2 linked regions of the Caenorhabditis elegans genome follow. The protein of the gene in region 1 interacts with the protein of each later gene in a pairwise test. Each region holds a gene or a part of one and is shown in the gene's direction. Other genes may lie near its edges.

Evidence for each region. The genes of interacting proteins can lie anywhere in the genome.
Region 2: the proteins of B0001.7 (region 1) and lir-3 interact in a two-hybrid assay, tested with the Caenorhabditis elegans proteins (one large-scale study listed by BioGRID).

The regions. Positions count from the first base shown.
Region 1 is NC_003282.8:12,149,522-12,157,654, reverse strand, and holds B0001.7 (Movement protein), read left to right. Parts: upstream 1-3,409; 5' UTR 3,410-3,412; coding exon 3,413-3,652; intron 3,653-3,695; coding exon 3,696-3,854; intron 3,855-3,898; coding exon 3,899-3,964; intron 3,965-4,010; coding exon 4,011-4,265; intron 4,266-4,324; coding exon 4,325-4,660; intron 4,661-4,709; coding exon 4,710-5,007; intron 5,008-5,127; coding exon 5,128-5,333; intron 5,334-5,385; coding exon 5,386-5,467; intron 5,468-5,516; coding exon 5,517-5,683; intron 5,684-5,729; coding exon 5,730-5,840; intron 5,841-5,886; coding exon 5,887-5,952; intron 5,953-6,007; coding exon 6,008-6,146; intron 6,147-6,198; coding exon 6,199-6,281; 3' UTR 6,282-6,463; downstream 6,464-8,133. Other genes in the region: B0001.2 (uncharacterized protein), read left to right, coding at 6,691-6,743, 6,817-6,988, 7,043-7,173, 7,553-8,133.
Region 2 is NC_003280.10:11,181,141-11,186,650, reverse strand, and holds lir-3 (Transcription factor lir-3), read left to right. Parts: upstream 1-1,843; 5' UTR 1,844-1,844; coding exon 1,845-1,913; intron 1,914-1,963; coding exon 1,964-2,136; intron 2,137-2,581; coding exon 2,582-2,734; intron 2,735-2,797; coding exon 2,798-2,906; intron 2,907-2,954; coding exon 2,955-3,220; intron 3,221-3,407; coding exon 3,408-3,492; 3' UTR 3,493-3,576; downstream 3,577-5,510. Other genes in the region: sfxn-1.2 (Sidoreflexin), read right to left, coding at 1-30, 523-598; bigr-1 (HAD family phosphatase), read right to left, coding at 3,621-3,890, 3,938-4,024, 4,073-4,147, 4,742-4,990. UniProt on the Caenorhabditis elegans protein: Positively regulates the RNA polymerase III-associated transcription of small non-coding RNAs.

The DNA.
Region 1 (8,133 bases):
TGGTCCCAAAAAAAAACTTAAAAGTTTCAGCCCTAAGCCCTACCACCTACTGCATTTGTGTCATAAGTGAGACATACATAACGTGCCCAAAACTGACAGTTTCATAAAATTAATCATGGCAGGTAACCTGCGCCTAATTTTTTGTCAAGATTTTATAGTAGATGTCTGAAAGCGTGTCTTCGTGTCTTATTGCCTTCTAAGCTTTAGAACACGAGATACTTTGTATAAGAGCAGCTTTATGCAGCGATTGTGATGCCATAATACTTTCTAAAAACGCGTTTTTCAGAGGATAAACCAGAAGTGGATGCCTCGTGCCTGAGTAAATCCTAATCCTGACTAGTGAGTGAGAGGCGTTTTTTTGCTTTCCTGGATAGCCTAGAAACCTCTCCTAACCATCTCATGTGTAAACGCAGCCGGCTGTTTGAAAGAAAGGTCCTAGAAAAGAGAGGTACCCGAGAATTTTCTGTGACCACGGCCATAAATCATATTGGAAGAAGGAAGACGTGGTATTCTTGCGACAATGAAATCGAGAGATATTAGATGGGAAAAGTTTGAGCTTTGCAGTTTCAAAACCTTGAATATCCTTTTCAAAGTCACGTGACTCTGAGGAAGAGTGTGGATACGAAAAAATCGATATTTTTATAAAAATGTTGAGTAGTAGATTTTCGACTTACCTTCTATTTCTTTGTGTGGATTTAGATAACTTTCAGACAAGATGATCTAGCCTTCTGAATATAAATATCACATTTCAAGTTGTACGTTGGTATATGTGAATTATTATATTTCGTGTGTTCAGTATTTAGTGTTACCACGTTCTGTGGAGCGAAGTTGCGGACACAATGCGCGAGAGTAGTGGGAATTGGAAATAAAGAATTGTGGTCATAAGATTAAGCCTAAGTTTCAATTTTTAGCACTATTAATCTACATTTTTCAACAAATTATTATCACGAAATATCTATTGAAACATGATAGAAATAATTTTAATTATTATTTTTCAGATATTTGAAATACTCTTCCGTCCTCATGCATCCAAAGCATAAAACGTGCGTTTCAATCTATCATAAACGTATTCACAATTTTTATTCAGTTTTTAATGCTGACGTTGATTTACCAAATTCTATATTTCTGCCCATTGCATGCATATATATATCATTAACTATATATAAAAAAAATACAGTTCGTCTGTCCGGAGTTTGTAGTCTATGTAGTCTTTGTAGTCTGTGACGTCACGCCCGAATTTCAGTGAGAATAGTGGGCGTGGCACCCTTCGTGGTGAGACCCATCGTGGTGAGACCCTTCGTGGTGAGACCCATCGTGGTGATACCCTTCGTGGTGAGACCCAAAATGTTGGCGGGAAATTCAAATTTTAAGTGAAAAAAATTTTGGCGGGAAATTCAAATTTTCAGTGAAAAAAATTTTGGCGGGAAATTCAAATTTTCAGTGAAAAAAATTTTAGCAGGAAATTCAAATTTTCAGTAAAAAAATTTTTGGAGGGAAATTCAAATTTTCTGAGAAAAAGATTTTGGCGGGAATTTCAATTTTGGTTTTGGAATCATCTGGAAAATTCCAGAAAATTCTATAATGTTCTAGAACTTCTGGAAAATTCGAGAAAATTCTGGAATGTTCCAGAACTTTCTGGAAAGTTCCAGAACCTTCTGGAAAGTTCCAGAACCTTCTGGAAAATTCGAAAAAAATTCTGGAACATTCGTGGTGAGACCCATAAATTTTGACCGAAAACTCAAAATTTCTGAGAAAAAATTTTTGGCGGGAAATTCAAATTTTCTGAGAAACTTTTTGTTAGCTTAAGTACCACCTCGAACTGGCGAGACCCATCGTGGTGGGACCCTTAAAAATATGGGCGAGAACTTCAAAATTTATGAGAAAAGAAATTTTGGCGGGAATTCAAATTTCCAAGAAAAATTTTGGCGGGAAATTCAAATTTTCTGAGAAAAAGATTTTGACGGGAAATTCAAATTTTCTGAGGAAAACATTTGGCGGGAAATTCCAATTTTGGTTCTGGAATCAATTTTTGTTTCAGCACCTTCTGGAAGTTTCAAGAAAATTCTAGAATGTTCTAGAATCATCTGGAAAATTCAAAAAAGTTCTGAAATGCTCTACAACCTCCTATAACTGTAGGAGTTTTTATTTGTTTCGTCACATCTATATTCAAAGAACTTACTATTAGTAGTTAATTATTCAGACTTCTCCAGTTAAGGAAAGTTATTAACTTATTGAAAAAACTGTAACTCTGTGGAATTTTTTCGGGGGAGGGGGACAGCTCGCCACCCCAACAGTGAGAAAAATAGTGTGGTGCGCGGACCTCGAATGATGCTGATATTACCTGGGGTACCGCTTTTTGCCTTTTCCCCGTGAGTGAACGAGAAAAAGGCGGGGACTATTTTGGCGTACACGCAACGCAGTTTTATAATTTTGAGTGTAGAAAAATCAGAACATTCTAACTGTCTCTTTGAATTTTCTGAATCGAATACCATGGAAGAAGAAAATGCGATTTAATCGATGAAGTTTCAACTTTTTTAATGATATATTTTTGAATGATTAAAAGGACATCTATGTGTTATACATTTTAAACTCCGCCAGTCGTTGGCCGCGCCGGAGGCGCGGTCATCGGCTGGTATATATATATATATATCTACTCATATTAGTTTTTTTTTCCGCTAAAAAAATATACTATTAGAATTTAAATTTAAAAAAATTATTACTAGAAAATGGAATTTAATATTAAATTTAAAGAAAAACATGTTTTTTGAAAGTAGTTTGAATGCATTTACAGGTTACTGTAGTTTTAAAGGCGCATGACATAATTTTAAAATTTAACTTTTTCGCTGCGATACCTTCACCGCGAGAAATCTTTTTTGTGACATAATTTCTTCATTTTTGTTGGTTTGTTTTCGCTGAAACTGCAAAAATTGAATTTTAAAATTGTATTACTAATTCAAATTGCGAAAAATTATGCGAAAACTTTTTGAAAACCCGCATTTTGTTGTAAATTTTCCGATTTTAAGCTAAAATTATGGTTTTCTAGTTAATTTTTTAAACTTTATCAATTTTCAAAATTTATTACTGCTTAGATTTGAATTTTAAAATTATTTAAATAAATTACAATTTTTAAAGCGCTTTGAATGCATTTAATGGTTACTGTAGTTTCAAAGGCGCATGGCATGAATTGTAATTTGAATTGCTTCGCTGTGAGACCCTCACCGCGAGCAGTCTAATTTTTGTGACCTATTTTCTCAATTTTCATTTGTTTCCTTTCGCTGAAACGCGAATAGGTTGATTTATAAATGGTTTTTTATCAATTAAATTGCAAAAAAATGTGCGAAAACTATTTAAAAACCCATATTTTGTTTTAAATTTTCAGATTTGTGCTAAAATTATCGTTTTTTTTCAGATAATGTCGGGAACAAAAGTTCCCTCTTTACCGAAGGGCAAAGAAAAACCGTGTGTGGTTACTTTTGCCACACAAAGTGATCGATCTAACGAACCGCCACCACAACCGAGAGTAAGGAAAGTGACAACAATCATCAATACATTAGGAGTTGTCGTTCGAAACACAACAACAGAAATTGGAGTTTGGGTGTTCACTTCCTGTGTAGAAGTCTCTTTTCCAAGATCAAATTCACCGATATTCTCAGTAAGTGAAGTTGAATAAACGAGTTCTCTAATTTTTATTTCAGAATTTCACATTGGGCACTTGGATGATTGTTGGTTTATATCCTGACGCGACGGTTGCTTCATGTTCACCATGGCCTTTGATTCTCAAAGCTTACGAGATGAGTGTATCATATGGAACTGTATTTATGAAACGAAAGGCTTCAGAACTTTGTCATGAAAAGGTTGGACGTGAACTGTTTCGCTCAATTGACGGCAAAACTTTCAGACGGTTTTGTATAGTGAAGTGGTCGTCCCGCTTGTGAATCCATATAGCAACATGTCATATTTCGAAGTTAGTGCAAGGTCATAATTCCATTTTTAAATAACTAAATTTTCAGCGCGATCCTCATCTCACGGCGGAGCTGTACATGATTCCTGGATTTGGCCGTGTGCTCGGATCCAGCGCTTATCGGCAGTACTTAGAGGACAATAGAGATAACGTTTCCTTCATAGTTCAGTATTGTGGAGGATCATTACGCGGTTGCAGTTGGATAATGTCGGTGGTTGATGGAAAAGCTCAGACCGATGGCGAGTTCAGTGACAAAGATCTCAGAGAAATTGCTGAGTTCATTCGTGAAAGACACAACAAAGAGGTTTAACACACATTCGATTAATTAGAAATTTCAAAATTAAAGTATTAAAACTTTTTCAGAATGAATCACCCCCTTTGCCGTCTAACTCTATCGCTCGTCACGCCGGATTCGTAACAGAAGTGTTCCCACAAAAAAATTATCTTTATTGTTGGTCACCACAGGTTTCCTTGGAAGCAGATCATACGGCGAAATTTCCGCAGCCACCAAAACATAGAGAAGTAGACAGTCCAATGTTGTCTCCGCTAGTAGGCCAATGGATCCAATTTGATGTGCAGTCAAAAGATTTGGATAAGTATATGAGCACGAGATCTGGATATCGATTGAGCATTCAAGAATATTTACCCATCAACAGTCCGTGTGGCGTCGGTGTTGTTCAATGTGGTAAAATTGTTCGAGTGAGAAAAATCTATCCTAAATGTATTTTAATTATTTTATTTTTTTTAGGTCATGATTTCATGTATTTTGGTGAAAAGCACCGATCATCCGATGTTGTTCGAATTACAAATGTTTGGACCTGTCATCGATAAAAAATCGTCTTTAATTTCGGGAGCGTTCATGCAGATAGTCCTGGAGAAGACATCATCGAGAATCCGTAGAATGAGTGGAGTTTGCTGGAGAGTAATCTATTCGCTCATTGTGAGCGGCGCTGAAAATATGGTGGAAAATTCGCAGAGCGTGCGAATCGAGGCAATTTCCCAACGAGACGCCATGGAGACTTCTCACATCATTCCTATAGAAAAGCGTAAGTAAATTTGACAGATTTCATGTGAAATTCGATTCATCACATGAATTAGAAGCAATGTTATTCAAGACCTAGTTAAGATTCCATGGCTTATTTCCAATAATGATGTCTCATTTACAGCCTCTAATTCAGGAACTATTACAAACAATACTGGAGTGACTACATTGAAGTATCAACAGCCCCATCAAAATCCCCATTATCAGGAGCAGCGTCGAGATTATTACATGGGAAACAACATTCAAATTCAAACAGCATATAATTCCACACAACTTCGGAAGTACCAACCGAAACCGAAGAAATTCTCGTCATATACCGGAGAATCATTGGTTCGCTCTAGGCCTATATTTTTTTTCGAAATTAATTTTTTGCTTTTTTCAGGAAGGTCATGCGCTCGTCGAAAAGATTATGGCTCATGCGAAAACCGGAATCTTATGGTTCTTTGATAATTATAACTCCAGTGGTATAACTTTTCAGAAAAAAAATTATTTGAACACATTGAATATATTCAGTTCACTTCATTTTCGATGATTTTGAGTTGAATGTTGGTGACTATGCGTATGTGAAGCTGATCCAGAAGAAAGAGGAAACGGCTCATCTGCAATTTCGATGGAAATGGATATCTGGAACAAAGAAACTTTCACCATTCAATTGTCGCATCGATCTGTTTCAGTTGTTTGTATGTTTTCAGAAATTATGATAACTTTAATTCGGTTCATTTTCAGATAGAGGAACAAGTGTCTTACAAATCAAAGGACATGTTAAACAGAAACACATACACTTCCAAAAACTTTCCGATAATTTTCGATGCTGATGGAATTATCAAAAATCCCATTGTAAGATAAAGTCGTTTCGTTCGAAACATAAAATTAATTATTACAGCCAGGAGCCATATATTGTGTGGTTATTCTTCGAAAGAAAATTCAAGTGACGCAAACGGAAAGCCCGGTAAGTTGAATTTTTTTTATAAAGATAATAAAGTTTTATATTAATATTATTATAGACTCACAAATATCAATGGATTATTGATTCTGCTCAGAGCAATCCGTTTATTATAACGGAATACTACAATCCTCACAATGCTTTCAACAGATCGTTCATAGCCTCAAAGCAATTTTCGAGTTCAGCAGCTTTATCAACTGGTAAACAATTATCTATATTAGCTACTATAAATAAACAAAAAATTAATTTCAGACTCGAAAAAAGGATCCTCCGGTTCTGAAAAATCATCGACGTCTCCTCCGCTGAAAAGTCTCACGCCACCTTCAGATGAATAATTATGATGACTACTAACTTTTTCTTCTGTTTTGCATGTTATTTAATCATATTGAGACAGATCTCCCTACCTGAAAACGTGTTCTTTATAACTTGCCGGGTGCCGAGTTTTTCACGGTTTCTGTCCAACTTGCGCATTAATCGCGCCCCGTATTTGTTGTATTTTATAAAAGTTTCCCAGTTTCTTATTAAACTTTGTATCTCTGTTCATATGTACCATCCGTTTCCACCGGAAAGTTGTATCTTCTTGAGAGCATTGAGAGGCCAGAAAGAATTTTGTTTAGTGAAGCAAAACATTTTTCACTTTATTTAATTGCCGATTGATTAAAAAACGCCCCCAGATGTCCTGTTTTCTATTACAAAGTTTCCCGTCTTGAAACATTGACCGTTAATATATTTTAGTCATAAATAATGCTCGGATTAGCCGCACAACGAAAATCAAATGGGAAAGTCGCCGTAGTCTCGTGAGTTTGCTATTTTTTCTAAATAAAATAATATTTTCTCGAATTAGGTTTAATAAATATTTTCAACTTTCAGTCCAACAGATGGAATCGAGTTCGATGTTAACGAAGATATTCTGAACATCCACATGATCTTTCTGGGAGACTTTTGCCAAATCAATGTTGAGAATAATATTCCGATTTCTTATTCAAAAGTGGAAGATGCGTTCAGGTCTTTAAAAACTGAAGTGAGAACAGATACTGTTGAGGTTAGTAAAAGCTTAATTTTCTTAAATATTTGTTTTTATTAATTATTTATTCAGGTATCCGGTGACACAGGAGTTCTAACTAGTGGACTTGCTCCATTTTATAAAACGAAAGAATTTGGAGATGTTGCTTGTAAAGGCCAGGCTCCAGGAGAGGCTGGAACAAACCATAATATTATTGTGTCTAGGTAAGATTTTTGTATCACTCAGATGTGAGATTTTTCGATTTTTTGCGTCAAAAAATACAGTTCCCGGTCTTGACACGAAAAAGTTTTTTCTAAATTCGAAAGGTGTGCGCCTTTAAAAAGTACTGTAGGATCCAAGCGTTGAAATTTTCATCGATTTTTCAAGGTTTTTCTCTCGGATTTCTTATATTTTTTATCGAAAAATCGGCAAAAGTTTTGCAGCGGCGAAAGTTCGAAACTACAGTACTTTTTAAAGGCGCACAACTTTTCGCATTTAACAGAAATTTGTCCTGTCGGGACCATTAGCCGTATTTTTGATGAATATCTCGCATCTTGATAGTATTGTGTCGTACTTTAATATACTTTTGATTTTTTTATTCAGATTGCCAGAGGAACAACGTATCGGTCTATACTCGAAGTTCGTTTGGCAAGGATTATCGGATGGAAAAATAGAAGTGATCTCCAAAACGGCGGGTGTTCTAACTGAAAGAAAAGAGAATAAATCGAATGCAAAAAAATCTGAAGCAAAATCGAAAGAAGAATACACAAAATATATTATCGGAGTTGTTACTGGAAAAAATCAACGAAATAACGCAGTTTTCGTTACTTGCAACCTCACATATCCAGGAACCGACGGAATAATCGAAAAGAGTCAACTACAAATTGGTGATTGGGTTGAAATTCGGTTTACGAAAAAAGATTTCGTAAAATACTTTCCATCAAATCCAACTGCAGATACACCGAGATTCAATGTGAAACATTTCGAAAAAATTGAAAAAATCGAAAATTACTCTGTAACATGGGCCGGCAACGGACCACAAGTGAAAATCAGAAACTTTCAATTTCCGGCTGGACACGTTCAAGGACAATCTGTCGAGGATAGATTCCTGGGAACTATTGCAATTAGCAAAAAAATTGTTACCAGTGAATCTAAAGTCGATGTATTGATCAAGCACCGAAAAT
Region 2 (5,510 bases), on another chromosome or scaffold:
TAGTAAGAGTGAAAAAGTGACGGACACGACCTGGAAAAGAGGATTTCTTTACAATGTAGGTTAATAAATGTTAAAAATCAGAAGTAAATCAGATTGTAATTTATTGATTTCTGGCGTTTCCAAATTTTCGGGTCTCTCAAGTTCAAAGCGGCACAAGAAAAGTTTGAGCCAAAGTGTTCCAAGAGTTTGATCAAACTTGGGACAAAATCTGGCGCAGCCTAAATCCAGGTCTTGTCAAAATCTTGCCCAACTTTCGCCGAAGTTTTGCCAATTTCTCATCAACGTTAATAGTTTTGGGCAAAACGTGGGCAAGAAGCTAGAGCCAAATACCGAATAATTCGATGAAAAAGGTGTCCAATGTGCTATTATTGAAAAAGGTGTCCAATGTGCTTCGCGATGTGCTATTATTCACTTTGAAAAATGCAAGAATTTTGCAATGCACCGCACATTAACTTTCAGATACATCCCATCTAAACAGTCTTAACTTCGCTGGCACTTTTTGGCAACCTGAAGAATTCTTACCGTAATATGTCCTTTGACTCCATTGTGGCTTCGATATATCTGGACGAGTCTTTAGATTGCTGACAAGCTCACTCATTTTAATCAAATGAGAACTAATAAATGAATTGTTCTGTGGTTTTGTAACGTTTTTTTTGTTTCTTTATTTTTAATTTGTTAGACCGTGATTTACGTGGCACTTATGTATATATTTTTAATTGTCTCATATCCAAATTTTATAATTTTTCAGAATTGAAAAACTGAAATATAAACTTCTGAAAAAAAAGAGTTCCTCTCTCCCGTTTTCAAACGGAAATTGTGAGTCAGAAGTTTTGGTTTCAGAGAAGGCAAGAGGAAAAAGTACAGCAGCGAATTGTTTAGGAAACTCTTTGATTATTCATCATTTGTCAGAAAAATTGTGAAAATAGAAGGAAGAGAAAATGAACTGAAAGTTTCAAAAATTTTCTGGCTTCATCCGGCAGTTTTTTTTTGCAGCAAACATTTTTTGAATTTTTTTGAAATAATTTTTAAAGCATTTTTAGTGCTCTAGATTATTTTAGGATAAAAACCCATCAACTTAAATATAAAAAAATAGTCTTTTTATCCGAAAATAATTTTTGTTTTACTTGAAACAACTGCAAAAGTGCCGAGCAATACGAAAATTGCTTGAAAAACCAGAGAATTTATCGGAAAAAATTTCCGGCAATTTTTGTGCACTTTTTCAGATGTTCCAAGTCAAATAAAAATAATTTTCAAATAAAGCAAAATAAATTTTCCGAAATACGGTAGCTTTAAAAAGTTACAATATTCTTAAAGTCCCCACCCAAACCTTCTTTATTAAAATCTCCCCATCACCTTTTTGCAATATATTGCAAAATCCAACAGCTATGCATTTGAATCCAAACAGCAGTCTCCGCAGCCTCTCCCTCTCTTTCCTTCCCCCTTCCACCACCCAATTCCCCAGTCCGTCAGTACACGTATGTCTGTACACTCTTCATCTTGCACACTCTCTCAGTCCCCACTCACTGCCTGCATCGCAGCACTGCTTGTCCTTCGATCGATGACCGCCTGCTGACTGCTGTTGACTGCCCGCATGCTGCTGCCTGCTGGCTGAATTATCTCATCACTATAGGCCACTTATGCTCAGTTTTTTTTCTTTGTTTCTAGAAATTCATTACCGTAGGATTTTAGTAGGAAATTATTTGAGTTTTTTTCAACCTGATTTTTCGCCGAGAATTTAGGAAAATTTGGAAAGAAAGGGAGGATTTTTTTCAAGGTTTTTTTCCTCATATTTCTCCGAATTCTTCCGTGACTTTTAAGATATTGTAACTAATTTTTTTCTCAGAATGGATCCAAAATTTCTCGTAGTAGAAATAGACTCAAAGGAGCGAGCACTTCAGTTGGTTCAAGTTATGGTGGGTTTTTCTAGTGAAAAATAACTAAATTGGAAAAAAAAAAGTTTCAGCTAGAAAATGGATTTGCTCGATTCATGCTGTTGGACGATCTTTCGCGACACCCGACTCTCGACAGAATCCAGAGAGAAGAGCCAAGAATTTCAAGAGATGAACTCCGTGAAACAGCTTCATCTCCTGTCACATTTGAAACTCGACATTCTCCATATCCAGTGCATGAGCAAAAGTAGGTGGTTTTTTTTTAAATATTTTTTATTTAAAAAATGGAAATTTTTGAGATCAAACCTTATATTTCACAAACAATTCAGAAAAATTCACTCTTAAAAGAACCAATAAAAAAGGTTTTATTTTGTCGAAAACTTCTCTTTCGCCAAAAAAAAAATTTCCGAAGCCTCACCTTCTGCCTTTATTTGCTGTATATTCTCTACTAGTCTTTCAAAAAGTTATATCTCGGTTCATTTCAAAGATATCAATAAATAATCAACAGCAAATCTATAGAAAAACATTTAACAAATATTTTGTCAGTCGAAAGTTTTTCAATAAAACAAACGACAACTGAGTTATCAAATTTATCAGTTGGTTGAAATACTATTAGAGGAAATACGGTATAATACTTAGCAGAAAAGTTTTTACAAATAAAATTTGCGACTTTAAGTTCATCAAATTTTCAGAGTTCTATTTCCATCGTTTTCACAAGTTTCGAATTCAATGGTGACATCTACGGGCATCCGACAGGAAGCTTCAAGTGTTGGTGTTGGACCGATTGAAGACGACGATATTGTTGAGGAGGAGGAGGAAGAGGATATTCGACTTACTAGCAAGCCGTGAGTTTATCTACTTTAATAAATCTACTGGACATTCGAGAAATTAAAAAAAAAAGATTTCAGGTGTGTCAAACGCCGTTATGATCATCACGCCGAGGAACAGGAGTATAGAGATCAACTGATGAGCTTGTTGAGTGGAGAACCGGAAATTGTGCCTATAGGTGTCAACTCGGTTAGTAGTTTTTTCTATATTCCAAGACTCACAATTCCTCATTTTCAGAACGACGAACCATCTGGCTCCAACTCGGATTCTGCCGCGAAAAAGGCCAAATCCGTCGGCGACTACCATGAATGTCAGCTCTGTGGAGTTCGAGTCAAAACGCCTAGAAGCGGTCGATGGAATCTCCAAATGCATGTGATTGCTCTTCATTGTGTTGGAAGACAATATAAATGCAAGCAGTGTGATTACTTGGACTATCGAAAATCAACGATGAGAAAACATACGGTTTCGCAGCATGGAAGTGACATTCCGCCGCATAATATTACGTGAGTTTTGGAGTTTTTTCAAATCAAAATTTCAAATATAAATATTTTAAAACAATACCTAAACATCCCCATGCTGCTAGAATCAATACAATTTATTTTAAAAAGGCTTTGAAATATTAATTGAAATGAAATTATTTGTGAACAATTTTTGTAGAAGTTTCAAATTTAAAAAATCATATTTTTCCAGGGACAACATAATGAAAGCTGAATGGCATGCTGCAATGATAAAATGTTTCCCTGAATTTGCTCACAGAACTGGGTTCTTAAACTGATTCATCGCTCTCATCGCCAAATTATTTATTTTTTGATACCATTCCAATTTATTATATTCCTGATAAAAAGTGACAATTTGATAATTATATTGCAGTTATAAAGCGGTTAGATATACATACATCACCAATTAGATCAGCTTAACCTTAGTGAAACCCTCAAGTTCATGAATCGCCTTTTCAATGTCTTCTACTAAAATTGTGTTCCATCCGAGCTTTTCTGCAGCTTCAATGTTTTCATGGAGGTCATCCAAAAACACAATTTCCTCTGGTTTGACTCCGAGTCTTTTCTCAACTAAATGATAAAATCGAGCGTCTGGTTTCATGAGATGCTCCAAACAAGATTCTACAACTTCATCGAAATGTGTCAAATCGCATGGAAGTCTGGTTTCCTTGTGCTCCTGAAAATCATTGAACAAATTTTCAATATTGATAGGAACTCGATTACCTTATCTAAGAACATGTTGTTTGTCAGCATGGCGGTTTTGAAGCCCTTCTTGTGAAGAATTTCCACGGTTTTTTGCATATTTTTGTGCTGAAAATGCTAGGTTCAGGGCAAAGTTTAGAAACATTTTAAGCTTACAATTTTAACATTTTCTCCACGAAGGCACTCGGTGAATGGTTTTATCACAACGTTGTCAGTCAGCTTGTTTCCATACTGAAAGTTTAAAAAGTAAGAAAAAATTTCAAAAACTTTGTTTTGAAAATAAGGAAATTCATGAAACTTGCAATAAATTTGAATTTCAAACTTCCTAAAAATGTAGGAACGATGTTTCAGCTGTATCTTTCTGAAATTTTTTCCAAAAAATAAAGTCGATGGAACGTTCAAGTTTTTTTATAAAAATTGATGGATGTTCAGATTTAAATTCTCCAAAAAATCTTGGGGGAAATTTACATGTATTTTTCGAAAAAAATTGAAATTTCAAAACTTCAGAAAAATTTGGCGCATGTACCAATATGCATATTTTTTTGTGAAAAAATTTAGAACTTGACTCACAAGAAAATTTGCGAGAATTTCAAAATTCAATATTTCAACAGAAATTTTTTTCCCGAGATTCACATTGTAAACTTTTTTAAAAATTTAGGGAACAAAGCAGGAATATCAAAATTCCAGTGTTCAAAAAAAATTCGACGGGAAAATTCAAAATATAATTTTTAAAAAACATTTTTGGCCAAAAAAGTGTTTTACAAAAGTCAAAATTCATTTTTTAAGAGACGCTTAAAAATTCAAAATTGATTAAACCTCGCCTACCTTATGCTTCAAATACTGCAAAAAGAGACCTCCTTCCAAATCGTCGACAGTCAATGTACCCAAGAAAAGACTTCTATCGGGTCCCAACCACTGCGAAAACTCAATTCCGACAGATTCACTGTGTACAGCATCATCAGGAAGTCCAAGTGATCTTGACATGGCAACCCATTTCTCCATAACACCTTCATAAGAGAGTAAAACTCCTCCGAAATCGTAGACAACTGCTTTAATTTGCTGGGTCATAGTCATTTTGAAACTGAAATTGATTTATTATTTTAGGAGAAAAATATTTTAAAAAAACAATTCAAATGAAACGAAAAGTCTTGAAACTGAATACTAAAACAAAAAATGACATCAAAACTGAACGAGTTGGTCTTTAAGCATATTCGGAAGCAGGCAGACGCAGACAAAACGTGCGTTGTCGCTGACTAGATGAGTGTACTTTCATCACTAGAAAATATAAAATACGCCACCGTCGATAATATCAGTTACATATATATCAGCAGAAAACACGAAAATGAACGAAAAAGAGAGAAAAGTTAAAACGGGTTTTGTTCCGATGAACTCTCAAAGATGGTGGGGCAAAGAACAAAATGCTAGTGTGGAGGTCCCCAGGCCCCCATGAAATGTCTTTTTCTTCTCTTTTTTTCTCTTTTCCTCTTCACTATTTCCCTCGCTGGAACTGAACGTTAAGAAATATAAACCTTTGGAGTTTTTAATTCAAAAAAAAAAGGTCAAAACCAAAATGTTCAAAAAGTCAACAAAGATC